Linked DNA regions of Drosophila melanogaster. The protein of the gene in region 1 interacts with the protein of each later gene in a biochemical or structural test. Each region holds a gene or a part of one and is shown on either strand. Other genes may lie near its edges.

The links.
Region 2: the proteins of beat-Ic (region 1) and side-III form a complex in vitro, tested with the Drosophila melanogaster proteins (one study listed by BioGRID).

Annotation. Positions count from the first base shown.
Region 1 is NT_033779.5:15,997,040-16,003,847, reverse strand, and holds the start of beat-Ic (beaten path Ic), read right to left. Parts: upstream 3,558-6,808; 5' UTR 2,594-3,557; intron 2,064-2,593; exon of another isoform or gene 1,972-2,063; intron 1,920-1,971; exon of another isoform or gene 1,709-1,919; intron 1,653-1,708; exon of another isoform or gene 1,447-1,652; intron 868-1,446; exon of another isoform or gene 788-867; coding exon of another isoform or gene 404-787; exon of another isoform or gene 207-403; intron 93-206; exon of another isoform or gene 1-92. Other genes in the region: CG34167 (uncharacterized protein), read left to right, coding at 404-787.
Region 2 is NT_033777.3:5,955,461-5,962,061, forward strand, and holds the start of side-III (sidestep III), read right to left. Parts: upstream 4,096-6,601; 5' UTR 3,365-4,095; intron 1-3,364. Other genes in the region: CG11373 (uncharacterized protein), read right to left, coding at 5,022-5,045, 5,330-5,485.

The DNA.
Region 1 (6,808 bases):
TTTGGTGACAAAAATAGAGTGATGGAATAAAAGTACTTTTATAGACTTTTATAGGAAGAAAAATCGTTAAGTTACCATATAAATTGCAAATTATACATGGAATTACTTAGTCTCCAATATATGTTTATTCGATACGATTCTAATTTAAAATGTTTTCAACCGCATGTATCCTTGCCTTTGGTGTCACTTTTCCAGTAAATACTTGAGGAAACTGCAAGAGTTTTTATTCGACAGGAATTATAAAATTTTCCCAGTGGACTTGTGACTATTGGCGGACAAAAAAGGTGCTAAATAGGCGCCTGGAGCTGTGAGCTGACTGTCCATCACTGCCCCGGAGTATTTAGCATTTTTTTTAGCGGCAAGTACTTAGCAACAGGTTGCAAAGGGCTAAGTAATTTCTAGGATGAGTTGTGCTGCACCGCGATGCCGACCGCAGTTTGGATCCTGTGGGTCTGGTTGTAAGCCCTGCGGCGGAGGTGGCTGCTGTGGATCCTGCTGTGTTGGTGGTTCCTGTTGCAGGGGCGGTACAGGAGGATGCTGCGGCGGATCCTGCGGCGGATCATGTGGCGGTTCATGTGGTGGATCCAGTGGCGGATGCTGTGGCCCACCGCCCTGTGCCGTGGTCTCGTACCGCTTGACCTACGGCCCCGTGGGTCCCCTGCTGCCCTGCATGAAATGCACCTGCAACTGCGGATGTTGCAGCGGCGGTTGTGCGCCACCTTTCTATTTTGTGCCGAACAAATGCAAAAATTGCTGGGAATGGGGCTGCTTTGGCCCGCTGTACTAATACCCTGTAGTACCCTGTTGTTGCACTTTTTATTGGAACTTTTCATATTTTTGAATGCAATAAATTCACGTGTCAGCCAGACTTGCATATTTGCGCCCATTTTTGTTGCCTTTCTGACAGGCTAACAAATGACCGGGGTCCAGTTTCAGGGTTGCCAAAGTTTGCGCCATGAAAATCATTTAACATTCGAACTTTTGTTAGCTAGCCCGCAAAAAACGAATGAAATGGGCAGGCAAAAGTTTCCATTCGAGAGACTAGCAAAACAATGGAAAAATGGTCAAAATCTGAAAGCTGCTTGTTTTGGTTTTGCATACGAAGCGAATGCAGGGGAAAAACAAAATATTCGTTCGAAAACCTTCCAATCTATTTGGTTACACGACGTACTTATGTAGGTCATGGATCTGACAGTTTTTGTTCAGCTATTCGGTTGTATTTTTTAGCCACGCTTGAATAGCGAAGACAGGTCAATTGAACGAACTTTTTGACAACGGTTCCAGTCACCAAAATATTTTCGTTTAAAAACTGCCACAGTTGAAAACAAATTGACGCGCTCCTAGCCATAAATTTCTTTTTTAATTAAACCTCAATGTAATTTGGTTCACAAACCAATACATTAGTTTTGATAAGGAAGCTCAAAAACAAAAACGCAAATGGTCTGATAAAAATTTTCAATTAGCATGATATTTCTTAGTCTAGTTATTGGCTACAGACCACTTTTCAATGGGAATAAATAATTTTTTCCAATATATTTACACGCAATATTTTAGAAACTTCAACTCCAAGCCGTGCCTTTTGTGCGCCTGCAAAATTTTCTTCATAATTCTAACTGATGGCCTTTTTTCAGTGGCGTAGGTCTGAACCAAATCTATGCAACAAATTAACAAGATCTGAATGAATATTTTACATTTTCTTTTCACTTACAATTGGCCATTCCATCACTTTCTTCAGACGAATCTCCGCCCAAACAAGTTAAATGAACGGCATAATTTTTATTGTCGGTTTCCACAAAAACACTTTGTCGAGTCGCCAGAGGCATATCCGGTGAATAATGTTCTCGAAAGCATTTGAACGGGTTTGTATTCTGATATTTTAACCACCTGGTTATTATCCAAAAGTTACCATCAAATATGGGCTAAAATTGTTTCACTCAGAAATGTATTGTTCAAATGTAAATATCAACATACTGGGTCAACTGAATTTTTAATAGCGGTACATCCATTGTTTTTCACAATGGGAAATTGCCTTTGCTGAGTCGGTAAAGGGCGACACAGAACTATTATATCCACTACTAAAATTCTATAATGTTAATTAATTTTACAAACACCTAATTGTAAAGTGACTTACGGCACAAGTCCTTTCATTATTCTGAGCTATTCATCTACTTGGATAAATTAGTTATTACGAAGTGTCAAGCAAATCGAATTATGTCTAATGCAGATTATTACAGCATGAGTAATTAGCTTAAAGCGTCTTTTACGGCACAAAATCAGTTTGCTTCTTAAATGATTGGTTACAGTAATCTGGACAAAAGATTAGAACTACATGGTCATTCATTCTTTGGAGTTTTTTTTGTTTAATGAATCCTAATTTTCAAAGCTAATCTAGAAATTTATTTTTTATTTTATTTGTGTGTAATCGCACTGCCGAAACATATTTCTCCTGCCAAAAATCTGCTTGGTTTTGCAAAATCCACAGCCTACATGACCGTAAATTATATTTTAAGAGTCCCAACAAAAAGCCGGAGCAAAATCACAGATACAGATATCATCATCACCCAGTCGGAACGCTCAACTGAAAGTAACTCACCTTTGGGTAACTGGTGAACAACACAAATGTTATGACTGCCGGCAGTTGTTGTCTTTGTGTGTTGTGATTGTTGTTGTGCCGGCAATAAATTAACTTATTTTAGCACGTTACACGACTTCCCACACCCAGGCGCACACACACTCAACTTGGCTGCTTTTCTTTTCGCACATACACATGACACTAGATGGGCGGTGGGTGGGTTTGGTTTACTGAAAGGACAACGTCAGGGGATTTTTGGCCCGTCCAGAATATATATCCCGCACTGGAGAATAGGGCTTGACCTATGCCCTTACTTTAGTATTTTGCGGATTTTGCACATTTCTCACATATTTTTCATAATTTTCGCGAGCAAATCGCGTAGGACCAAAAAAGTGTGTACGAAATAAAAGTTTGGCGAAACGAAAAAGTTTGTCCTGTTTGCAGTGTTCGGGTTTTTTTTTGTTTGTTTTGGAAACACTCAAATCTCTGGTGAAATATTAATTTTCACAAATTCTGACACTTTTTTTTAGCGGGCATTTGCTTGGCCCGCCGAACTGCAGATTCTTTCGCAATTTTTGTTATACGAATTTTTTGTGTTGTCTGGTTGCGCTGTTGTTTATTCTTTGTTGTGATGGGGATTTTATTAAAATTTATTAGCTCGCTGGCCCTCGTCGTTGGCACTGTTGTTGTGGTTGCACCCGTGGGCGATGGCGACAGCAGAGCGAACCAAACGATTTGACATTATCAACGTAACTGAAGCATCAGCGGCAGGAAGCTGTCGGCCCTCGCCGGAATCCCAACAACAGCAGCTGCTGCTGAAGGACCCGATGCCGATGCTGTTAAGTAGAAGCTGGAATCGAAGGAATTCGGCTGTACGTACTCGTGTCCTGCCAGCGAGAGCACAGAATAAAGAGCTGAGCCACTCGGCACTTGACGAAACACGAGCCGAGGCTGGGGAAATTTCAGAGAGTGCGGGAGAAAGCAGCTAAAAGAGAGGTTGTGTTTCGTTGATGAAAAGCTTTCGTGTTCGAAAAGTGAGTTGCTTGTTAACAGGGATTCATTGGGATTTATTTAACTGATAACTTAACAGACTCTGTAAACTTACATTGGGTAATGTAATTCTCAGGAAACAGGAATCCCCGTTTAATTATTATAATAACATCAACATATTTATTTACTATTAATACTAATTCGTGTTCTCCTAACCTTTTCTTTAAACTAAGGTCTAACAAAAATCTTAATGGCTATTACACTAAACGGTACGATTAGTTGTACGCAGCTAGTAAATAAAATGAAGTCCTGCATTGAAATTGAATATAAATTGAATCTCTTTTAAATGAAATTTAAATAAATCGAGAATTAAAATTTACTGGCGTGGCATCCATGAAAAGGAGAAACTGAAGCCTGAACCTTAGGAGACAGCGACTAAAGTGGTCAACAACAAACGGAACTAATGCACAACATGCAAAATGGAAACCATATTGACAAGATGCAGTATCCATGGAGAAAACTGTAGGACGGGTGGAAAATAGAGCAGCAGCGGTTGAAACATAAAGCAATAAACAAGAAAATACCAAATGCATACGAGCCAGCAAACATGACAAGCAGCACTGGCAGCAAACAAAATAGAAAGGATACATGAGAACACGAATCTATATGTAGACACATATATTTGATATACATACATATATCCATGGTGGTGGATATCCTGTGTGAGAAAGCTTTGGCTAGACAATAACTGTAAAATGTAAATATTAATATTGTCATAATAGACAAGATAACTTGAAAGGCAGCAGGCGGAGGAGTGTGTGGGGTGTTTGGAGATGATAACGACGACGGCCAAGCGGATACGATGATGATTGCCCCTATGGATCTCGATCCTGACGAATAACCGCTAAAGTGCCGTTAAGCTGCGCACTACCGAATGCGAGCATTTCAAAGCGAAACGAACGAACAGCAAATGGGAAACAGAATACAAAATGTCAGCTCATTTCCGGTTGCTTAATTTGAAATCGTTGTGCCAAAAATTACAAATGAGCTGACAATGGCACCGAAGGAACCAAACAAGCGAAAAATAACAGGACACGGCAGGACATGGCTGCCAGACAGAGAGGACCATGGCGACAATAAGCACAAAATAGCAGCGTCTAATACGCAAAATAAACGAGAACTGGCCACAGCATGACAGCCAGGATAACACTGGCCAGCTGGGCGCAGTCCTTTTGCCCCTTTGCCCCTTTGCCCCACAGTCCCCTCCCCAGTAAAAACTCGCACCACACAGCCCCTCGTGTTTTACAATTTAACGCACATCCTAGCAAGGCAACGCCCCATAGTTTAATTTTTGTCTCCTCGATGTGTGCATGAAATTCGTGCACTTAGCAAAAAGCATACGAACAAAATCGTTGATAAAACAAGTATTTTTGATCTTAAAGAGTGTTGATTGACTCACATTGCAATATTTTTGAATTATTCGTTCTCTTATATGAAACTTATATTTCACTTTAAAGAATAGATTAAAATTGTAAAGGTTAAATAAAATAAACTCGGAAGCAAATTTTATTCATCGCCCTATTATTTAGGAATCATTATAATTTTCGCATCTAATTAATTTTTTTTTTTACTATGACATTTCGCTGTGTGTTCCCTCCCTCTCTGTCACTCATTCATCTCTATCTCTCTTCCGCTGGGCTTGCTCCACTCTAATCTAATGACGACAAGCATGAGGGCCGGGGAAAGCTCCTCTGATAACCACGGCTTTGAGTGTCGCTCTTTTATTGCGTATACGCCATGTGCATCTCACATACTCACACAGAGACGGACGCCACAATGTGTCGAAAATTTGGTGCGTCCATCGTCATTCACCTTTTCGTTGAGTGCAGGCGATAAAATGTTCGGCGAGCACACAACCTACAACCATCAAGATCTTTCCAGGACCTCCTCTCCACTTTTCTTGCCCTTCAAGAAATTTTCTATCTGCTGACAGCAGTAGGAACCACTGCCAAATGGTCAAGTGGGAGACTTTGAGTAAAGTGAATAAGGTGAATTCGATTGCTTTTGAAACAATGTGAACTTTTGAGTAAATATTATCATTTATCTTAGTCTTTAAATGTGGCTAAAAATGTGGAGTATAACAAGTAAGAATTGACCATATATGTGACCATATATAAAAAAGAAAAAAAATTATGATAGATGTTCTTTCAACTAAGTTGAGTCCTAAGAATTGTGTCTCTTTTTCCCAATGAACCAGAACGCAACTAATAAACCCGCTTACACCTTTCCTAGCGGTTCACCATAAACTTTATTAACGTTCATCAACTAATTGACTAATTTATGCAAGTCAAATAAATGTCATGTCAACATATAATTAATTGTGGCGCCCAATGTGCCGCTAAGTAAACGTGGGAATGCGGAAATTTCCTAATTTATGCATGATTTAAATTTACCACGGAGAAGTCGTTCTCTTTTCGCAGCTAATTAAATTTTTGTAATTGAAAAACATAACAAACAAAGACAGTGCATGGTAAGGGAAAACTAAGCCTCTTCTTAGGGACCAAGAGTCGACTGTTTTTCGCAACTTGCCCTGCACTTTTGAGGTCATCCTGGGAGTCTCTTAGGATGTCCTTAGACTTGTCAGCGGCTCCTTCTGTTGGCCAGCATAATTTTGTTATTGTTTTTGCATTGCATTACAAGCAACTACGGAGCAACTCTTGCTGCTGCTTCTTAATCTATTGGATTAGTGAAAATTCAATTAGGCCAGGCCAAGGAGCCTCCATCTGCTGCGCAGGATCCAATGAAATTAAATTGCGAGCTCTTCAACTTAAAGTATGACACTTCGATGTCCAAATATTCCCTGTGCTATCGGCAGCAATTACTTTTGTACGATTCAGGCCCGCTGCACGTCAAATATTTGTTTAACGGGCTAAACAAAATATCGCCCACTAAATCCATGTCAAAATCCAGCTATAAAAATAATAAATAAACTTGCAAAAGAAACCTAAATCATTCGATCTACGAGAAGCGCAAAAAATGGCGTAAAGCTCTGTAAAAAATGGCTGTGAATTTCAAACCAAGTGCAAACATTGTTGTATCGCAAATATTTACAACACTTTAAACTATATGGCAGCTTTTGAAGCAGCAAAAAACCCCCCACAACAAGGGGCAAAAACAAATATGTATTGCAAATGATTGTTAAAAATTTGCGTTCAAACAACCCACACATAAAGAGACCGAATAAAC
Region 2 (6,601 bases), on another chromosome or scaffold:
CCAGCCGCTCCCGGTTTGTTTTGTTTTTTTTTTGAGTTTTGCATAAATTTTCGGCCCTTTCGTTCGGTTTGCTTTGACCTGGTTTTCCACCAGGGCTTTTCTCACTTTTCCCACCAGCCACAGCCAGTTTGTGTGTGCTTCCTTGCCTTTCCGTCTCCGTTCGCTCATCGCCGCTCTGTTGCGAGCATTTTTCGGCTCTCATTAAAATAGGTAAACAAAATCGCATAAAATTTCCTGATAGACAACAGATAAGAGTTAAAACTTTGCGCAAACTCCGGTCGGAAAACTCTTTTCGGGGGCCAGTTTGGTTAGGCAAATGAAGTGTAATTCCCGATGAGAGCGGAGCCCCCATAACGCTTTCACCGAGCTTACTGGGAGTTAAATGCTCAAGTGGCGCAATTACAGGTTAACTTTGGACTCGATAAGGGTTAAGTGTCCGCCATTACGTCGGCTTTGTTTATTTTTTAAGCTAATAACTCCTTTAGCTTGAGAAGGCTTAGTAATTTATTGGTTTCAATTTTGTTGCAGGCAAATGGAGAGCGCATAGGTCCACAATAGTTTAGAGGAACTAAGTATATATGTCCACATCATTAATTTGAGTATTTGACTCATCCAAATTCGGATTGTTTTTCGGTTTTATCGCCTTTGCGGATTTTTCTTGCCTAGATATACTTTATTGGTTTCAATTTTACAAAAATATTAAGCAAACTAAAATAAACTGACAAAATTAATTTTTATTATTATAAGAGATTGCTTATGCTTTCGTGCAAAAACATTAATATGTTCTTCCAATTTCGAAAATGTTTCTTCTATCTTTATTAGTATAAATTACGATATCCACTAAAAGATTTCGTGAGGCTACATTACAACTATATTTTGTGCTGATTTCAAGAGTACTATTTTTCCGTCAATGAAATGCGTAATATATTTGTATTAAACTGCAGTAAAATGTAATTTCTGTTTGGTATAATACAATTTCTTGTTAAACTAAATAAAATAACTTTAAACTGTATTATAAAGAACCATGTCAAATTTCTTTTATAAGCTGAACTTTTTTTCTGGCTTCTTTGAAAGCTGGTTCATCAAATTCCATAAACCCAACCGAATGGAATAAGTTACTTTAAATTTGTAGGTAGAGCTATACCAGACACATTTTCCTACATTTTCTCTATGTAAGCCGGAATTTTACGAGCATTCCAATAATTGGTGCCCGGATATGCAACGCCTTTCGGCGTCCTACTCGCATCGCTTTTGCTTCTAGTCCTTAAAGCTTTCACTTGGGAATCCTAAATCAGCCTTACGATCATAAAACGTCCATACTTCATTCCGATTCTGAGCCCGATTCTCTTCCGTTGCCTTGGAAGCTCACTAGGTCAACACAAATCAGCATAAGCCACACAACTCCACATCGGACAATAACATTTTTATGTGTTAAGCTTTATGACAAAAGGCCAACACGAATGCGAAGGCAGGAGCAAGTGCACAGGGAAAGCCTCAGTACGTGAAAGTTGCTGCAAGTCGGCATAGAAAGTTTACCGATTTGTTTTGGCCGTAATAAATTCGGACAGCTGTAAGCAAGCAACAAATGGGGAATAAGCAAAACAAACGGTCTCGGCCACTGCAATAGTTCAAAGGAAAAGTCAAGGACCCAGGGGCTCGCTGTTGCTTAGGCACTTGGTCCTTTTTTCTGCGTTCCCGAGCAGCGAAGAATCAATCTTTTTCCACAGCTGCTCCACATGTTCCTCGTTTTGCGAGTGCCACTGTCAGAAATGTTGAGCTTGTGTAAACGACCAAGCAGCCAAGTGGGCGTCGAGATGTTCGTTCGGCTTTCTGCCAGCCATTCGCAGTTAACCCGTTATTTACTCAGGATCTGGGAAAACCTATCGCCATCATTTAAGCAAATATTATTCCATTATAACGGAAATTTGAAAATTAATAGACCATCTAGAACTGTTTAAGGCTTAGAACACCCATTTGCATTGTGCTTTCATAAATTAGTAGCAACATTTGCATTCACTATGTAATAAATATAAAATTTGGTACATTTTTCCAAAACAAATAAAGGTTGCAAATAATGCTTACAGAAAAAGTAAGGAAAATGCCCCCGAATGTGGAAGCGAGTTTCTAAATGGGTTAATTCCATTCCACATCCACTAAAAAAAAACGTATTGTGCGTGTTTCTCTGGCTGCACTTGTTTTGTTTTTCTTGGCTTGTTTTTATTTCGTTAATTTTGTTGTTGAGGCATCTGTTGCCCGGCTTCTGTTTTTCCTGTATCTGTATTTGTATTTGTTGATGTGCTTGTGTTTGTGTTGGTTTGTTTGCCCTAGCCCCTGCCAAGTAAAATAATTTTAAATGTAATTCTCGGATGCGCCTACCACTCGGATATGCATCCCATTGGATGTCCTGGCCCACTTGAGAGTGGAGTGTTACTTTTGGCAAATGTCAGAGTGCCTCTACACACACTCCAGATCCACGCTACCCGTCGAGTTTATTTTTCAGCTCATGAACCCCTAAAGTCCTGGCACGGAAATCCCCCTGCTTCTCGAAACCCTCAACCCCCTAACTATGAGTGCACATCTCCTGTTGGCAGGGACATGCATAAATATTATAAAACGTGCTGCTGCCGCAGATAGGTAAGTGCAGATGCCGGCTGTCTGGCCAAAATGCTTAGCCCGGCCCTTGCAAATAAGCCCACTTGCCGATTGTCTGTCCTTGGGCCTATCTGAGCCCGGTTTTTGGCGTACTCTTTGGCTTGTTGTAAGCAGCTTTCATGGCCGGGCTAACTGGCTTAAACCACTTTGTGCAGGAGGCGGCCATAAATTTCGGTCAAATGCTGGTACAAATCTGCACAATGCTTTATCATTTTTATTTTGATTTGGCACTGAGAAGTTTTCCTTTGTTCGAGCGAATTTTATTCAAAAAGGAATACGGGAAATGCCTTTAACGAATGTATATAATTTTTAACTTTGTCTTCAATTTCCCATTGTATAATGGGCTTCGGAAATATTTGTATTCATTTGTTTTGCTAATAACCCTATTCGCTTGGGAATTTTAATTGAAAAATGTCCATAATAACACATTAAAAATGTATTGGTGTTCTGCTGACGAAACAAATACATCGATTCCTTGACCAGTGGGTGGCTGAGCTCAAGGCAATTAATTGCCAGTTAAATGCTATTAAGTGCAGCACGCAGAAGGATTCCATGAATATATTACGCCCGCGACAGCCGATTTAATCGAGAACAAGACGATAAACATTAACGAAACCCGTTTCGAATTGCGAATTAAAGTCGCTTTTCGCTTAAACCGGGATTTGTCATATGCAGAGTCAAATACTTAATTAACTTGCAGTTCCATACGCACTTTTCGAGGACGCGGCAGGGTGCAGAATGTTGGTGGCAGGTGCAGGTGGCAGGTTGCAGGTTGCAGGTGAAGCAATCCGTGCGGCAATCGCGATAAGTGCACCAACAAATGGTTGGCAAATCTGGAGCACTCGCAAAGTCCACAAACAATGTGCAAAAGGTCGCGCGAGTTGGGGACTTACAAGTTTAATAAAGTCATATACACGCACTCCCGATGGCCAAGATGCCAATACACATAATTGTAAGGATGTGTGTATATGTATGAATTGTAGGGGCCACGGCTCAGTCTGACTTTTCCGGCAGAATGACCGACGAACGAAATGTGACCGAAATACACCATCAATTTTTAATATCTATTTAACATTTCAATCAGCGGAATCGCAGCGCTCGCCGCTCGATTCGTATGCAAATTTTAATTAATATTTAATTTTTCATTCATTGTATTTCTGTGTTTTGCCTGCAATTTTAATGACGCATCGCGGAGCGCTAATAAAATTAAATGGCCCAAACAACACAGGACCGATCCACTCACACAGATATTCCGGCACTCACACACTCTCACACAGGCACACTCGACCGAATGAGTTGTGCTTTAGCTTCCTTTTTCGTTTGGCTTGCTTGCTTGTTTTGTGGGTTCCACGCGCCGCGTTTTGCTCCTCCAGCGGATTGGATTTTCGCGTATCGTTGAGCAGAAGACCGTAGCGCCACGTTCCGACACGAATACGAAACTGAGCCACGGCATTGGCAAAAACGCTGCCGAGCACCAAAATATCCTTTGGCTCGGTCGATTCCATCTCGGGGACTTTTGCGCTCGTCGCGCGAAGAGGTCCCTCGGAGGACCAACCTCGTTTTCACTCAATTACCGAATGAAAGTAAAAATGGCACGAGCTCGGCGAAGAGAGTGTATCGGCAGCTTGAGTTTGTTTTGGTTTAAATTGCATTTAAGGAACTGCCAAGGTAGGCCTATCCCAAGCAATTTTACATTCTCGTCCTGCAGGATGATTTTAAATAGAGAACTGTCCATAAGTTGAGTTACAGTTTTATTTACGAATGAAATATCTCCATTATGTTTATCAAATGTTTGTATTATTGACGTTTTTTTATCTTTGCTGGTACCAATGTGACCAAGAACTATCCTTCTTCAAGCTATGAACCCACTAATCATTTTAAAACCATCCTATTTATCTAAAGTTATTCAGCAACTTTTTGTACGTCTTAAGTATCCATAAAAAGGACAGCGGACAAGTTTCTTGACGTTTTTAATAAGCCCCTTATAGTAAAAATAATACCAGTTAACACTCTTATTGACTTAAATATTTTTTTAAGACTCAAAGCCAGCTTCAGGCAAACTGAGATGAAAAGTACCCCTTAAAGAGAAAATTTCCCAACAAGCTCAAACACTACTCTCTTCTCTGCGAGGACAAGCGCCTGCGCTTATTCCAACTTCCAGTCAGCTTATCAAGAAATTATAAGAGTAATTTCCCTTTTGGGATTTATTCGCTTTATTCAGCGCTTTAGACGTCAAAGAATCCGTACATTTTATAAAAAAAGAATATCAGGATTTAAAACGTGGATCCAATTTGGGGACCTGAAATCATAAAATCATAAGTCAACAGTTATTCAAATTTTAATAACTTACCGAATATTTTTAGATATTATTACATCTTCATAATCTTCCAAATCTGTAAAATTTTCAACAGTTAATATATTCAACTTTCTTGTTATCGAAATAGCTGAGTTAAAAACAGCTGTACATTTCTCATTATTGAAAAAGCAATTATTCATAAAGATATTGTTATTGTTATTCAGTTGCCACCATTTTTATAACGTATAATGAAAAGAGGGGATTCAATTACTCATGCATAGGTGTTTGTAATTCAATTAGTCGAATCGAATCCAAACATTAGGATGTAGTGATTAATTCATCGATTATATTCTCATTTGCAAAAAATCTAAAAAATCTTACCCTATCGTGTGCATTTGGCAATGGTGGTCGAACCACTCCAGTTCCTGTGGGTTTGCTCCTGCTGGTGGTGGGATTGGATGAGGATGTGGAGGGCCTGGTCCCCTTTATGCTGGTCAGGGGCCTCGGAGCCGACTTTGCTGATGGTTTTTCGGGCATTTTAGCGGCGCGTTACGAAAATTGTCTGAGACTATTGACAGTAAAATTTACACATGTTTCAATCACTTGTGTGCTACACCGATTGAATTTAATGTGGCCGCCCACTAGATGCCTAGGATATCGAATCAAATTCATATAAAGTCTTTCAGAATGCAAACGAATACACGTCTGACTATGAGTCTGACTTCCAGTCACAGGCCAAAGGGCAGTCCACTCACTCGTCAGTCGTCACGGCAACATAACTGAAGACTCATAAATATATTGTGTTTACAGCAGAGCTCACAGCACTAGTAGCAGACGGATGACAATGATCTATTGTTATTGTTATTACCCAACAAGGGACATAGGTCATTATATTAAATCAATAACAAACATAATGAAGGTTTAAATGCAATGAGTTTCAAAAAGATTATATTTGATCATCAAACAATAGCTGTGGAACAATATTCCAAAATTATGATCTTTCTTTTAGTATCTTGCTTTTTTGAAAACAAAACGTTTTGTAACTCCATCGATTTGCGTTCAGATTTAAAATCATCTGCAGTTTCTATTGGCTTGAAGGTTGGTGTAAATGGACATTCATCATAAATGTCAGCGCCTGAAATTACGCATAAAGCATAAAGCCATATAAATGGGTCTACTTTAAGGCACACTATGTTTATGTACTTTCGAAAAAACTGACGCACTTGCATGAAAAATGTCCGCGTTCATGACGGCTCTACCACCGTAACAGCACAGCTACACATATATTTTTATAAATTAATTTGCATAAATTATGGCATATGGGGCAGGCCAAGTTGAAGCTAGGCCAAAAGCGTTGGCTATTTATCAGGACAGCGCAAATTCCTCTAAATGTCTGGCTTACTGCTCACGGCTCACAGCAACAATCACTCACTCATTCATTCATTCCATCATTCGGCGCCCATTCACTTCATTCACTTCATTCCGCCACTCGCAATTTGCATTTTTCGCACGGGCATTGTCCGCCCAGTAAGCCATCCAGCGGTACCCAACGGTACTCTGCCCATTGCCAACCCCTGGGATGGGTTGGAAAAGTGGGCCGGAAGGCGACAAGGGGTGGCAACAACGGGAAGGCGGCAACAATGTTGATTGTCT